2 linked regions of the Oryctolagus cuniculus genome follow. The protein of the gene in region 1 binds, or shares a complex with, the protein of each later gene. Links are inferred from orthologs where the notes say so. Each region holds a gene or a part of one and is shown in the gene's direction. Other genes may lie near its edges.

Region 1 (7,604 bases):
ACTCTGGCACTGAGCTGGGGCGGGTGGGGGGGCTGGGCTGCTGCGGCGGGGGTCCCTCCTGGTTCATAGGCGAAGGCGGCCGGACACTCGTGGCCAGGCTCCGGGCTGCAGCGGCCCGTGCAGCGGCCACCCGCGAGCCCCTCTGCTCCTCCACAGGTGCCGACCTGGAGGGCAGGCGGCAGATGAGAGTGAGCAACCGGCACCTGGACTTCCTGCCCCCGGGGCTGCTCCTGTCTGCCTACCTGGAGCAGCACAGCTGATGGCGGCCCTCCGAGACCGCCTCGCCCTGTTTTTAGATTCTGTCCTGGACGCCTGCCCCTCCTGCCCTGCCCCGCCCCGCCCCGCCGCTCCTGCCCTGGGACTTGTATTTGGGCGAGGAGGCCGGGCCTGGGCACCTCCACTTCTTTCAGTTTTCTCTGGCCCTGTCGGAAGCCCTACCAGGGGAGGGAGGCTGAGTTTTATCCCTTTAATGCATTTGTCGTGATGTGCTGTAGGGTTTTAAATTTCCCTGTGGGTGGGGAAAGCCGCACCCCTGCCCCAGCCCTGGCTTGGCCGTCCCTGCCTCTCACTTGGCTGGGGGTGGGGCGCATCCCCAGGACCTGGCCCCTTGCCCCATGAGCAGTTTGTCGTGCGTGTGTGCGCACACGCGTGTCCATGCGTGTGCCCCGTGACCCAGGACAGAGGCTTTGTCCTGCGGGCCGGTTTTATGCATTTTGTCCTCCGTGTGTGTGTGTGTGTGTGTGTGTGTGTGTGTCCCCACCGCGGGCCCCCCTGCTCTCCACCCCGCTGCCCCCTCACTGAGGTCCAGGACTTCCGGCCAGAAGCCGCTGCCCTCGGTGTCCCCCGCCCCCTGCCTGGCCCCGCCCCCTGCGTGGAGCTGGCCTGCACCCCTGTCCCCCGCGTGTGGCTTGTGCTTTGGGGAATGGGAAGGGTTTAATAAATTTCTGGTGCTCTGGCCTTGGGCTGTGCAGATGCTTCTTTGGGGGGGGGCTGGGACCCCCCCCCCCCGGCCCAGCCCCTCTCAGCTGCCCGGGTTCCCGTGGACGGGGCATCAGCGGCTGGAGTGACTGCAGGTGGCCACAGACACCCCCGGCGGCCTCACTGCAGGGCTGGCTTTGGCTCCTTCCTCGTCTGAAAGTTGTATATTTATTATCATTTTACATGAAAGGCACAGTTACACGGGGCGGGGCGGGGGGATCTTCATCTAAGAACAGTGACGGCCAGGGCTGGCCCAGGCTGAAGCCAGGAGCCGGGAGCGCCACCCAGGTCTCCCCCGTGCGTGCAGGGGCCCTGGCACCTCTCCGTCACTGCCGCCTTCCCGGGCCGTTAGCAGGGAGCTGGGCTGGAAGGGGAGCAGCCGGGGTGCCCGGGGTGGCCACTCAGACCTCCAGGGACCGTCCGTGAAGCCCCCTGCCCAGTTCTCAGCCACGGCAGAGGGCCTGCTGGACCCAGGCGTAGCCCAGCAGCTGAGCCCCAGGGTAAAGCTCCTGACCTCGCTCCCTGCTATGCACACCTGGGAGGCGGCAGTGCCCGCTCGAGTGCTGGGGGCCCTGCACCCACGTGGGGAACCCGGGGCTCCTGCTTGGCCCAGCCCCGGAGTGAACCAGCCGATGGGAGATCTGTCCCCCTCTCCCCCTCTCCCCCTCCCCACGGCCCCTGCCTATCAAATAGGTAAGGGAAACAAAGTCACAGCGCTGCTGCGGGCAGAGCTGCGGCGACCGTGGCCCCGCCGGGCCCACCTGTGAGCCGTGGCGCTGCACCGCGGGAGCTCCGTGTCCCGGGGTGCGTCTGCTATGCTGTGGGTTCAGTGCCCTTTGGTCGCGGGCCGCCTTCTCACCTGCTCCGGTGTGTGCCAGAGGGCAGGAGCAGGGCGTGGGCTGCAGAGCGGACGGCGTAGACCCCCGGGACCCCGCGCTCACCGCCCAGTCACGCACACCCTGCGTGGGCATTCACGCGCGACGGCTGCGGCTCCACGCGGACCGGGCCGGCTCCTCCTGCACGCTGTTCGTGGAAAGGGGTAGCAAAATATGGAACGCTTCACGAATTTGCGTGTCATCCTTGCGCAGGGGCCATGCTAATCTTCTCTGTATCGTTCCAATTTTAGTATATGTGCTGCCGAAGCGAGCACGAACGACCGCTATCCTGGACAAGTATTTAAGGTGCCGAGAAATCTTGTCTTTACGATAAGGGTGAATTTTCTTGCGACAACTTTGTGGGGCACTCGTGCTCTTTACTGTGTTAGGACAGTATATGTTCTAATGAGGTGTAGTTTTTAATCGACGTTAGGGAAATATTTCTGTTTTATATGAGACACACGAACGGAGGCTGCCGGGAACCTAATAGGACTATGCAAATAAGCCCGGAAGCTGGGCGGAGCCGGAGCCGCCGCCGTCCCATGAGCCTGCGGGAAGCGGCGGCGCGGCTTGGGCGACTCGTTGGTCCGGGAAGATGGCGGCGCCGGAGCCGCGGCGTTAGGGCGAGTGCGGGCCGCAGCCGTGCCCTCGGCTCCACGCTCGGGCCAGCCAGGTGAGCGCGGGGCTCGTGGGAGGGCCCGGCGGCGGCGGCGGCGGCCAGCCGGCCTCGGGACGACGTCCGCGACCCCGGGGACAGCGGCGCGGGGAAGGCAGGGGCGGGGCCTCCGGGGTCAGGGGGCGGGCCCGAGCGCAAAGGCTTCTGGGCGCGCGGCCCGGCGCGACGTGGGGGAGCCCGGGCGCTGCGCGGAAATTGAGGCGAAGTCCGCGGCCGAAGCGGGGCGGCGGGACCGGGGGCGGAGCCTGAGGCGAGCTGGGGGCGGGGCTGCCTGGCTCGGGGGCGGGGCTGCCTGGCTCGGGGGCGGGGCCCGCAGACGGGGGGGGGGTCCCTGGGGTTGGGCCTGAGACCCTGGGGCTGGATGTCGGGACGGTCGCGGCGTGGGCTCGCGGGGTGCCGGGGCGGAGCTGAGGGGTCGGGGTGGGCGTGGGCTCGCGGGGTGCCTGGGGCGGAGCTGAGGGGTCGGGGTGGGCGTGGGCTCGCGGGGTGCCCGGGGCGGAGCTGAGGGGTCGGGGTGGGCGTGGGCTCGCGGGGTGCCTGGGGCGGAGCTGGGGGGTCGGGGTGGGGTGGGCGTGGGCTCGCGGGGTGCCTGGGGCGGAGCTGGGGGGTCGGGGTGGGGTGGGCTCGCGGGGTGCCTGGGGCGGAGCTGGGGGGTTGGGGTGGGCGTGGGCTCGCGGGGTGCCTGGGGCGGAGCTGGGGGGTCGGGGTGGGGTGGGCGTGGGCTCGCGGGGTGCCTGGGGCGGAGCTGGGGGGTCGGGGTGGGGTGGGCTCGCGGGGTGCCGGGGCGTGGGCTCGCGGGGTGCCGGGGCGGAGCTGAGGGGTCGGGGTGGGGTGGGCTCGCGGGTGCCTGGGGCGGAGCTGGGGGGTCGGGGTGGGGTGGGCTCGCGGGTGCCTGGGGCGGAGCTGGGGGGTCGGGGTGGGGTGGGCTAGGGTGGGCGTGGGCTCCCGGGGTGCCTGGGGCGGAGGGGTGGGCCCACGTCGATGGAGCCCCTTCTCTTTGGAGCCGCCAGGGGCGCCGGCGCTCGCCGCTGTGGTCACTCTGGGCCCTCCGCAGGCCCGGGCCCAGCCTGGGGGACCGCGCGGCCCTGGGCGCCCCCTGCCGCCCCATCCTCGCTCCCCGGACCAAGCACATCTGCGGGGTCCTGTGGAGACCTGGGGGTGCTGGCCCGCGCCCCAGCCGCCCGGCCCCTCCTGGAGTCCCCGTGTGGACGCCAGCGTCGCGGAGGACGGGCGTGGCCTCGTGTGTTTAAGCCCCCCTATGCCCCCCCCCAGCACTGGGCCGTGTCAGTGACGAGCCCCCCGGGCCTGCGGCGGGATGGACCTGGCCTACGTCTGTGAGTGGGAGAAATGGCCCAAGACCACGCACTGCCCCTCGGTGCCCCTGGCCTGCGCCTGGTCCTGCCGCAACCTCATCGCCTTCACCACAGACGTGCGGAACGAGGACCAGGGTGCGCCCCCCACTGCCCTCTCTCCCCGCATGTCCCCCACCTGTCCCCGCCCCCCGTGTCCCCGTCCTGCTCCCACCTGGCCCCGCCCCCCATGACCCCACCTGGCCCCGCCCCCCGTGTCCCCGCCCGGCCCCCACCTGTCCCCGCCCCCCGTGTCCCCGCCCGGCCCCCACCTGTCCCCGCCCCCGTGTCCCCGCCCGGCCCCCACCTGGCCCCGCCCCCCGTGTCCCCGTCCTGCCCCACCTGGCCCCGCCCCCCGTGTCCCCGTCCTGCCCCACCTGGCCCCGCCCCCCGTGTCCCCCATCCTGCCCCACCTGGCCCCGCCCCCCGTGTCCCCCATCCTGCCCCACCTGGCCCCGCCCCCCGTGTCCCCGCCCGGCTCCGCCCCTCACCTCCTCTGGAACTTGGGGCGTCCAGAGCCCCGGCCTCCCCGACGCTGGGGTCCGGCTCCACGTGGGGCTGGGGTCTTGCTGGCCCAGGCCCCGTCCCGGCCCCTGCTCTGCGTCAGTGGCCGTGCCGTCTGCCCTGCTGCCGGGTGACGCGTGCTCGGGGACCGCGGGCGCTGCTGCCCGGGCGTCGGCCCCTCTCACTCCATCTTCCCATCGCCCGGTCACTGGCCGCTCTGCCCGCCAGGGGGCAGCCTGTCCCTCACCATCGCCCTGGGGGTCCTCCACGGAGCCGCCTGGGGGTCACGGGACCCCTCGGGACTGTGTCCTTGTGCCCCCAGACCTGACCCGCACCATCCACATCCTGGACACGGAGCACCCGTGGGACGTGCACTCCATCAGCTCCGGCCACACCGAGGCCATCACCTGCCTGGAGTGGGACCAGTCAGGTGAGGGCGGGGGCGGGGCCTGGCTGCCCGAGGGGCGGAGTTACGGAGGGAGGGGGAGAGGGAGGGAGGGAGGGGGAGAGGGAGACAGGGAGGGGGGGGGTGGAGAGCGAGGGGGGGTGGTCTCCCGTCCCTGATCCACTCTGGCCAGGGCCAGACCAGTCCAGTCCAGAGCCGGGAGCCAGGCGCTTCCCCGGGGCCCCCACAGGGTGGCGCCCTCCCCAGCCTCTGTCCCAGAGCCCCCGCCGGGCCTCTGCTGCCCGCGCCAGAGCCCAGAGCCGGCGCTGCGGCGGGCGCCGGTCCCGCCTGGCCGGGTCCCCGGGCCTCTGCCCTGGCCCCCACGTCCCGCGACGTTGTCCCCGCAGGCTCCCGGCTCCTGTCGGCCGACGCCGACGGGCAGGTCAAGTGCTGGAGCATGGCTGAGCACCTGGCCAACAGCTGGGAGAGCCTGGTGGGCAGCTCGGTGGAGGGGGACCCGATCGTGGCCCTGTCCTGGCTGCACAACGGCGTGAAGCTGGCCCTGCACGTGGAGAAGGTGGGTGCTGCCCGCGCCCGCCCCAGCACCCAGGCCGCCGTCCCCAGGACCCGGCCCTCACGCTGAGCCACTGGTATCCCAGAATTCCCTGCCACTCAGGGGCTGTGCTGCGCCTGCCACGGGTGGACGGCCACGTGGTGTGAGCCGGCGCCCACGGCCACGGGTGGAGTCCAGCACAGGCTGCAGGCGGCTCAGCGACTGGGGTCGGGTGCAGCCGGGGGTCTGGGGGAGGGGCCTGGGGGAGGGGCCGGGGCAGCCGGGGGTCTGGGGGAGGGGCCGGGGCTCCCGCGTCTCTCCGGGCGTGGGCGTGATGTTAATCTGAAGGCCTGATGTGGCACTGGAGCGGCAGCAGCCCCCCACGATGTGGCTGGGCCTGAGAGGCACACGCGTGTCCCCCCTCAGCCCTGTCCGGTGCACGCGTGTCCCCCCTCAGCCCTGTCCGGCACACGCGTGTCCCCCCTCAGCCCTGTCCGTGGGCTTCCGCGGTAGGCGTGTCCCGGGCTCCCGCACAGGCAAGGCGGGGTCAGCGAGGGCGGGGCTCCGGTGGTCTGGGTGCGCGGGCAGGGGCGGGGCTCCGGTGGTCCGGGTGCTCGGGCAGGGGCAGGGCTCCGGTGGTCCGCGGGCGGGGCTCCGGTGGGGCGGGGGCGGGGCTCCGGTGGTCCGGGTGTGCGGGCAGGGGCGGGGCTCCGGTGGTCCGCGGGCAGGGCTCCGGTGGGGCGGGGGCGGGGCTCCGGTGGTCCCGGTGCGGCGCGCACGGCAGCCCGGCCCCTCCGCCTCTCCCGCAGTCGGGCGCCTCCAGCTTCGGCGAGAAGTTCTCCCGCGTCAAGTTCTCGCCGTCGCTCACGCTGTTCGGCGGCAAGCCCATGGAGGGCTGGATCGCCGTGACGGTCAGCGGCCTGGTCACCGTGTCCCTGCTCAAGCCCAGCGGGCAGGTGCTCACGTCCACCGAGAGCCTGTGCCGCCTGCGCGGCCGCGTGGCCCTGGCCGACATCGCCTTCACGGGCGGCGGCAACATCGTGGTGGCGGCGGCCGACGGCAGCAGCGCGTCCCCCGTGCAGTTCTACAAGGTGTGCGTGGGCGTGGTCAGCGAGAAGTGCCGCATCGACACGGAGATCCTGCCCTCGCTCTTCATGCGCTGCACCACGGCGCTCAGCCGCAAGGACAGCTTCCCGGCCATCACCCACCTCAAGTTCCTGGCCCGCGACATGTCCGAGCAGGTGCGCCGCCCGGGCTCCGGCGCCCGCGGCGATGGGCGTCGGGAGGCCCCGCCCCCGCCCACGCGCTCGCCCAGGGCCCCGCCCCCAGCTTGCTCTGCGCCCCCCCCCCCCGCGCGCGCCCAGGGCCCCGCCCCCGCCCACGCGAGCTCGCCCAGGGCCCCGCCCCCAGCGCGCTCTGCGCCCCCCCCGCCCGCGCGCTCGCCCAGGGCCCCGCCCCCAGCGCGCTCTGCCCCCCCCCGCGCGCTCGCCCAGGGCCCCGCCCCCAGCGCGCTCTGCCCCCCCCCCGCCCGCGAGCGCTCGCCCAGGGCCCCGCCCCCCGCGCGCGCGCTCGCCCAGGGCCCCGCCCACGCGCGCTCGCCCAGGGCCCCGCCCCCAGCGCGCTCTGCCCCCCCCCCCCGCAGGTGCTCCTGTGCGCGTCCAGCCAGACCAGCAGCCTGGTGGAGTGCTGGTCCCTGCGGAAGGAGGGGCTGCCCGTGAACAACGTCTTCCAGCAGATCTCCCCCGCCGGTGAGGGCGCTGGGGCGGCCGCTCATGCCAGCCCCGCGGGCAGGCTCGGGCGCCGGGCACTGGGCACCGCACCGGGTCGGGGGTCTGGGCGGGGGCAGGCGGCGGGCGGCAGCCTGGGCAACATCGGGCGCCGGGTCTGGGGTCTGGGCGCAGGTGGGCGGGGGGGGGAGCATCGGGCACCGGGTCTAGGTGGGCGGCGGGCAGCGGCCTGGGGGGCATCGGGCACCGGGTCTGGGGGGCATCGGGCACCGGGTCTGGGGTCTGGGAGGGGGCAGGTGGTGGCCTTCCCCCAACACACAGCCTGCTCCTGCTCCCCCCCACAACCTGCTTCCCCCCACACACAGCCTGCTCCCCCCCCCACACAGCCTGCTCTCCCCACACAGAGACCCCCCAAGGACACAGGTGTTTTTCCCGCAGTGGACACCCCAGCTGGCCTGGAGGCTGCCCCAGGGCCCTGGGCTCCCCGGCAGCCGCCCCCCAGTGCTGGGCGCACAGGCAGGGCGTGACGCTCGCGGGGCCTGCGCCCGCCGTTTCTT
Region 2 (7,641 bases), on another chromosome or scaffold:
AGGCTGGCTGTTGGTTTGGGGGTAAGTTTCTTCATCTATTCAAAGACGGGATTAGAAGGACACGAAATTATTTCATATCAAATTTATGTGGTTTGTTCTGCATGCTGGAGCTACAGCTGTGAACCAGACTGGCAAGATCTTTGTCCTTTTTGCCATTGGAGACAGCGTAAGCAAGATAGCATCAGATAGTGATTAATGCTGGATGAAAACGTGATCAAGAGTTGAGGTGGAGGCAGGCGTTGTGGTGCGGTAGGTTAAGCCACGGCTTGGAACGCCCGCATCCCATATTGGATTGAGTCCTAACCCTGTGTACACCCTGGATGGCAGCGGACGATGGCACGTCCCTGGATTCCTACCGCTGTCAGGGGAGACCTGTGTGGAGCTCCAGACTCAGTCGCGGCTGTTGCAGGCATCTGCGGAGTGGGCCAGCAGATGCAAGATTTCATCCTGTGCCTTTCAAATAAAATAATTTTTAAAATGTGGAAAAACTGAATTAAAAGATGTTCACTTTTAGAAAATGGACATAACTGTTGCTAGATGATCAGAGTTAACAGAGAGGAGAGGCAGAGAGAGAGAGAGAGGTCTTCCATCCTCTGGGTCACTCCCCAGATGGCCACAACAGCTGGGGCTGGGCTGATCCGAAGCCAGGAGCCAGGAGCTTCTTCCGGGTCTCCCACATGGGTACAAGAGCCCGAGGCCGTGGGCCATCTTCTGCTGCTTTCCCAGGCCACAGCAGAGAACTGGATCAGAAGAGGAGCAGCTGAGACTCAAACTGGTGCCCATTTGGGATGCCGGCACTGCCGGTTGCGGCTTTACCTGCTATGCCACAGTGCCGGACCCTAGTGCTTTTTCTTAAACTATAGTTTTCCTTTTATTTGAAATGCAGAGAGACAACCACCAGCAGTTTCTTTAAGCTTTTTTCACTTACTCTGATTGTGCTTGTTTCTGTCAGCCCGTTGGCAGATACTTGGTATCTGTTCTTGGTAAATGCTCTATGTGCAGGAACAATGATGTGTTGAAAGGGGGAAAGAGATGTCAGGTCTGGGCCTTACTTCCTAATTTTTACTTTATTTGAAAGCCAGGGAGAGACGCAGAGAGACATTCCATCTGCTGGTTCACTCCCCAAATGCCCCCAACAGCCAGGGCTGGGCCAGGCCAAAGCCAGGAGTTGGGAACTTGATCCAGGTCTCCTTTGTGGCTGGCAGGAATCGAGTCCTTGCCGTCATCTGCTGCCTGGCAGCCTGCATCCTAGCTGGAGGTTGGAGCAGAAGCAAAGGAGCCGGCACGGAACCCAGCCACTCTAGTATGGGATACGGGCATCCCAAGCAGTGTCGTGACGACTGCTGCAAATGCCCACCCTTGGTCCTTGGTTTATAAGAAGACTATTTTAGTTAGTTAGGGAAGCACAGTATGTGGTTTGTGGATAAACAAGTGACTGTTTCTCATCGATACCAGTCTCATTACTTTGCAGTCATGCCTTAAATACTGCACAGCTAACAGTATCTTAGTGAACAGCATTAACTCCTTGATGGTTTTCAAAATGTGGTGTATCCATGATGACAGCAAGAAATTAGATGTCACTTGAGCTGGACTGTGAAGAATTCACATTGGTTGGGGAAAAAAAAAAAAAAACAACAGATTTTTCCTAAAAGGAAACAATATAAGAGGGAATGCCTATTTTTTTTTCTCATAAGTGTGGAGACTCATTTGAATGGATCAGAAATTTTACCAAAAAGAAAGAAATTTTACCTTTGGGGAAGTAGTGGCTGATGAAGCCCAGAGCTAAGTTGGATGCAGTCAGATGTGAATAACCCTGGATGCCTGAGGAACGGGTGCTTTCTCCCGAGAGTAACAGGAAACCTGAAGGTTTTTGAACTCAGAAGTCCTGCTTTCTAAAACATCTCAAGAATGGCGGTGCCATGATTGAAATGAAGAAGCCATAAGTGACATGGGCAAGAATTTGAATTAAAAAAAATTGAATCTGCATGAAATTTACTGCAAAGAAGGTTCATTCAGGAGAGGAGTCAGAGCTGGGGAGAAAGATTTATAAATTAACTACAAAGCAATAGTCAAAAACAGGAAGTTAGAGTTTAGAAAAAGCACAGTACCTTCTCCCTGACCTTCAGCAAAACCACCTGGGAGGAAGATAACTGGCAGAGAGGAGGGAACATCAGAAAGCAGTAGCAAGCAGCAGTGCCAGTTACAGAGCTGCTGCTGTTACAGACTACTCTTCTGACACATCTGGCAGTGCCGGGAAAGAAACGGATGCAGTAAGGCCTAGGGGCAGTCAGGAAAAGCACCTTAATACTGAGCACTAGCAACACGTGAACAGAGCGTTGTCTGCCTTCAAGAAGCCCACAGTTCAGAGCCCGAGTTTTCCCAGTTATCATTTTGCTCATGGTACCCTGGGTGTCCATCATAATTACAGATGAAGTTGTGGGTTAGATATTTTCACCCTTACCATAAATTTAGATTATTTATACTTTTCAGTATGTTTTCATTTAAATCTTGAAAAAAAAATGAAGTTTACTTAAGATAGCTATTATTGCATTCCACAGATAACAAGAAACTAAGGCATGGAGAACAGCACTAGAATTCTAGTTGTCCAGCCAATTTCTAACTACAGATTTCTTCTTTGTCTGCAAAGCATTATACTCAGTAACATTAGGGAGAATAAAGATGTTGGTAACCAAAGTTAAGCAACAGTAGCTAGAAAAATCTCCTTGCTGTTTTTCTATATAACTATGATGAGTGTTTTTTGATTGTTAAAGAGAAAAAACAGGGGCTGACACTGTGGCATAGTGGGTAAAGCTACCACCTGCAGTGCTGGCATCCCATAAGGGTGCCCGTTCAAGTCTTGGCTGTTCCACTTCTGATCCAGCTCTCTGCCATGGCCTGGGAAAGCAGTGGGAAATGGCCCAGCTCCTTGGGCCCCTGCCCCATGTGGGAGAACCAGTGGAAGCTCCTGGCTTTGGATCAGCTCAACTCCTGCCATTGCGGCCATTTAGGGAGTGAATCAGCTGAAGGAAGACCTCTCTCTGCAATTCCATCTTTTCAAATAAGATTTTAAAGAGTTACACAAAGAGCGAAGGAGAGGCAGAGAGAGAGAGAGAGGTCTTCCATCATCTACTGGCTCACTCCCCAAGTGCCTGCAACAGTCAGAGCTCCGCTGATCAGGAGCCAGGAGCTTCCAGGTCTACCACACAAGTGCAGGGGCCCAAGGATTTGAGCCATCTTCCACTGCTTTCCCAGGCCCTAGAAAAGCACTGGATTGGAAGTGGAGCAGCTGGGACTCGAACCAGTGCCGATATGGGATGATGGCACTGCAGGCGGTGACCCCAAAATAAATCTTTAAAAAAAAAAAAAAAAAAGGCCAGCGCCACTGCTCACTTGGCTAATCCTCCGCCTGCGGCGCCGGCGCACAGGGTTCTAGTCCCAGTTGGGGCACCGGATTCTAGTCCTGGTTGCTCCTCTTCCAGTCCAGCTCTCTGCTGTGGCCTGGGAGGGCAGTGGAGGATGGCCCAAGTGCTTGGGCCCTGCACCCACATGGGAGACCCAGAGGAAGCACCTGGCTCTGGGCTTCAAATCAGCGCAGCATGCTGGCCGTAGCAGCCATTTGGGGGGGTGAACCAATGGGAAAGGAAGACCTTTGTCTCTCTCTCTCTCTCTCTCACTAACTGCCTGTCCAAAAAAAAAAAAAAAAGAAAAGCAAAGTTCTTGACAAAGACCCTCAATCCCCTGAGTCAGAGAGTCAGATGGCCCTTGCTGTGGTCCCAGCTGACCTGTGAGGGCCTCTCCTGGTCACAACATCAGAGAGTATTTCTCACTTACACTTTATGAAAAGCAGAGAACAGTGTTGAGCATGCAGGCCATGTAAATTATCATTCTGGCTCATCCAAGAAGAGCAGAATGCCTCCATGTCTGCCCTGTTTAGGTTTCTGCCCTTTCTCCTTCCCGTGCCTGTTGTTCTGTAGTACTGCACTTCTAGTGTTTATATGTTACTGTTTACTTTTGCTGTTTCTTAAACATAAGCTTTTTCTGTCAAAGTCAAAACTGGGAAAAGTGGTAAAAATCATGAGAATGGTTGTTCTTGAGGGAAGTGCAGTCTGGAAATGAAATCAGCAGTTCTTCTGGTTGAGAAAAAAATATAAGCTCAACATTTCATGATTCTCACTTAAAAGCATCCTTATTTGGGTCACAGTTCGTATAGTCCTTTACTTTTCTTCTGGGTCAGTGACTGTAAACTCCTCTTTTAGGACTAATGTTTCTCTGTGTTCTCTAGGCAGCACGGAGCTGACAGGCAGCACCAATCTCATCACACACTACAACCTGGAACAAGCCTATAACAAATTCTGTGGCAAGAAGGTGAAGGAGAAGCTAAGCAACTTCCTGCCCGACCTGCCGGGGATGATCGATCTTCCCGGCTCTCACGACAACAGCAGCCTCCGCTCCCTTATCGAGAAGCCCCCTATTCTTGGTGGCTCTTTCAATCCCATCACAGGGACCATGCTGGCTGGCTTCCGCCTCCACACCGGCCCGGTGAGTGCCCTCTTGAGAGAGGCAGCAAATGGGGAAGCCGAGGGCAGGGAGTTTTCTCTCTCCACATCTGCTCCCTTGTACCTTACTGAGCAAAGGATTTCCTTCTCCACTCACCCAGACCTTCCTTTGCTTCCTTCAGTTGCCAGAACAGTGTCGCCTGATGCATATTCAGCCTCCCAAGAAGAACAAGAAGCACAAGCACAAACAGAGTCGGACCCAGGATCCTGTCCCCCCAGGTAAGCAGCAGCCCTGTTAAAACAAGAAAACCTGACCTTCTGAATTTGGTGCAACTTTGCACAGTTGAACCCAGTGAATTCCTCACACAGCCCTGGATGCCCAAGTTTCCACAATGTACTTTGATCTCTTTGGCAAGTAGGGACTTAGGACAGGGGTTCTGGCAGCAGAGCCATTTAGAGAAACACAGTTGGGCACCTGCCTGTGATGCCAGCACCCCATATGGGCACTGGGCTGAGACCTGGCTCCTCCACTACCTATCCAGCTCCCTGCTAGTGCATCTGGGAAGGCCGTGGAAGATGGCCAAGTCCTTGGGCCTCTGCACTCGTGTGGGAGACCCGGAAGACACTCTGGGCTGGCTTTGCCCTGGCCCAGTCCTGGCCATTGTGGCTGTTTGGGGAGTGAACTAGCAGATGGAAGAGCTGTTTCTCTCTAACTTTGCCTTTCAATAAACTTTTAAAAATCTAAAAAGAAAAAAAAAATTTGCCCAATTTGGTGTCCTGTAGTCTTCCAAATTCACAAAGTAGAGAATTTTGAGCATTATAGGTAACAGGCCCTAATGCTTCCTACAGAAACACCATCTGATTCGGATCATAAGAAGAAGAAAAAGAAAAAAGAAGAGGATCCTGACCGGAAAAGGAAGAAGAAAGAGAAGAAGAAAAAGAAGGTAGGGGTAGAGCCTGTTGCTGCAGCCCTTTTCCCCATATCTCACCCTGTCCTTTGCCTCAAACTGGACCCAAGAGTGAAAACTCAGGGCAAGTTGCTAGTTGTTCTTACCCTCCTCCTTTATCTTCTCCAGAGCCGACACAGTCCAGACCACCCGGGTATGGGCAGCTCTCAGGCCAGCAGCAGCAGCAGCCTTCGCTGACAACCACTGGACTCTACCAGGATGGCTTTTCCTACTGAACTTCTAACAGAAGCTGCCTTCCCGGCTCTTGGCCAATGCCTTGGGAATACCCAGCAGCCAAGGCAGAGGCCAACTCCTGCTCTGCTTGGTTGCGATGAATACATTAGAAGAGGGAAGGGCCATCCTTTTATAAGGCTCAGCCTAGTTGGCTTTCTCATGGACATCTCTTCCTCTCCCAGGAAGCTATTTCTTCTGTTTTGTGCAATTTGTTTAATATCAGAACTTGACCTGTTAAGTTTTTCTTTAAAAAAAAAAATACCTGCATTTATCAAACTGGCTCAAGTGTGGCTGTCTGTTAAGGGAGGTAAGTGCCTTTCTATGGAAGTCAGTGGTTAAGACAAGTCATTCCTAAGCTTTAAGGGGATTTGAGTCGTCCTTGCATTATCTCATTGGCAGGCAGGGAAACAACCAAAATGACTGAGAAACATGGTCCAAAAGAGGCACAGCTTCATTATACTCTCCCCATAATGTCAGGAACAAAGTGCCTGGATGGTCTTCAGGCTCCACTCTGAAGAGCTGATCCATTTAAACCTCAACAGATTCTAGGTCAAGTTTGGGTTGAAACAGAATAGTCAACTGAAAAAGCACCTACAATCACCATCTTCTTTAGTATACTTCAACCAGATTGACTCTTTGGTCAGAAAACTATAATGTTTTGAAATGAACCTCTGGCAAGCAAAGGTAAATGTTTCTTTTATCTTTATAAAATCCTTTGGCCTGCCTCATTCCTTAGATAACACAGTTTGGCTGATAAGCTCCCAAGACAGCAAAAAGGGCAGCCTAGACTATCAAAGTGTAAAAGAAAGCAGTTTACTTTTCTGCAGTATGGTTGGTAACTGAAACCCAAACTACTATAATCTAGCTTTAAACTAAATTTAACACAGAATAGTTAAAATCTATTGCCATGAACCAAGGTTGTTCTAGGTCAGTAGATGGAAAACCACTCACTCAGCTTGTTTTACTCCGGGATTTCAGAGTAAGAGTTTGTATGCTTAAGCTGCAGATGGTAAAGATAACGGGTTCTAGCCAGTCTGCTGAGAATTAGTGTCTGAGGATGCCTATCTAAAATGAAAGCAGAGGAGCTGGCGCTGTGGCGTAGTGGGTGAAGCCACTGCCTGCAGTATTGGCATCCCATACGGGCACCGGTTCATGTCCCGGCAGCTCCACTTCTGATCCAGCTCTCTGCTATGGCCTGGGAAAGCAGTGGAAGATGGCCCAAGTCCCTGGGCCCCTGCACCCATGTGGGAGACCCAGAAGAAACTGCTGGCCCCTGGCTTCGGATCAGCATAGCTCCAGCCATTACGGCCATCTGGGTAATGAACCAGCGGTGGAAGACCTCTCTGCCTGTTAATTCTGCCTTTCAAATAAATAAATCTTTAAAAAAATAAAATGAGCACAGAGCCTTTCCCCTTTGACAGGGTATAAGATGACCTAATTCAATTTCCAGTCAACCTGCTTTTACCAGGCTTCCGTATCTTGATTTTTCTTTGCAGACAAAATCCTTATGTTAAGGAGCAACATGAAGCCGTGTGAATTTTTAAATCACCCAAATTAAAACAGGACTTGTCGCTTTAAGTAATTTCACTATGTCCTGCCTAAGATAGGCCAGGATCAGAGAAGTCTGTGAGGTGTTCTTTGTGATGACTTCCCACCTTGCGTCACCAGACACAATAACACAAGTCGGGGGAGCCGTTAGATCAGGATTTCTTTTTATTCTTTGTCGGTTTAAAATGGCTAATCAGAATAAAAAATAAAAGGGCCTCTGTGCAGAGGCTGGGGTCTTCCCTATTTAGAGATTAGAACCCAGGTATCCCCTCTTCCCAGCACCATACTAAGTTGGGCTGAGGGGTAACCCCCAAGGGACAACCGGAGGGACCTAGGCCTGCCACTCCTCTCTATCCCATTTTTGGCATGTGATGAAAAATATTGCTTTTTGGATTCTTCTCTCCTGTCCTTGGACT

What was found.
Region 2: MED16 (region 1) and MED19 share a complex: the UniProt entries of both Homo sapiens proteins name them as parts of the mediator complex. The link is inferred for Oryctolagus cuniculus from reciprocal best matches to the Homo sapiens genes MED16 and MED19.

What each region holds. Positions count from the first base shown.
Region 1 is NC_091447.1:58,473,823-58,481,426, reverse strand, and holds the start of MED16 (mediator of RNA polymerase II transcription subunit 16), read left to right. Parts: upstream 1-2,369; 5' UTR 2,370-2,526; intron 2,527-3,801; 5' UTR 3,802-3,844; coding exon 3,845-3,977; intron 3,978-4,704; coding exon 4,705-4,812; intron 4,813-5,174; coding exon 5,175-5,344; intron 5,345-6,129; coding exon 6,130-6,561; intron 6,562-6,962; coding exon 6,963-7,068; intron 7,069-7,604. Other genes in the region: R3HDM4 (R3H domain-containing protein 4), read left to right, coding at 157-260. UniProt on the Homo sapiens protein: Component of the Mediator complex, a coactivator involved in the regulated transcription of nearly all RNA polymerase II-dependent genes.
Region 2 is NC_091432.1:14,443,147-14,450,787, forward strand, and holds the end of MED19 (mediator of RNA polymerase II transcription subunit 19), read left to right. Parts: intron 1-4,282; coding exon 4,283-4,539; intron 4,540-4,678; coding exon 4,679-4,775; intron 4,776-5,345; coding exon 5,346-5,440; intron 5,441-5,572; coding exon 5,573-5,641; 3' UTR 5,642-5,953; downstream 5,954-7,641. UniProt on the Homo sapiens protein: Component of the Mediator complex, a coactivator involved in the regulated transcription of nearly all RNA polymerase II-dependent genes.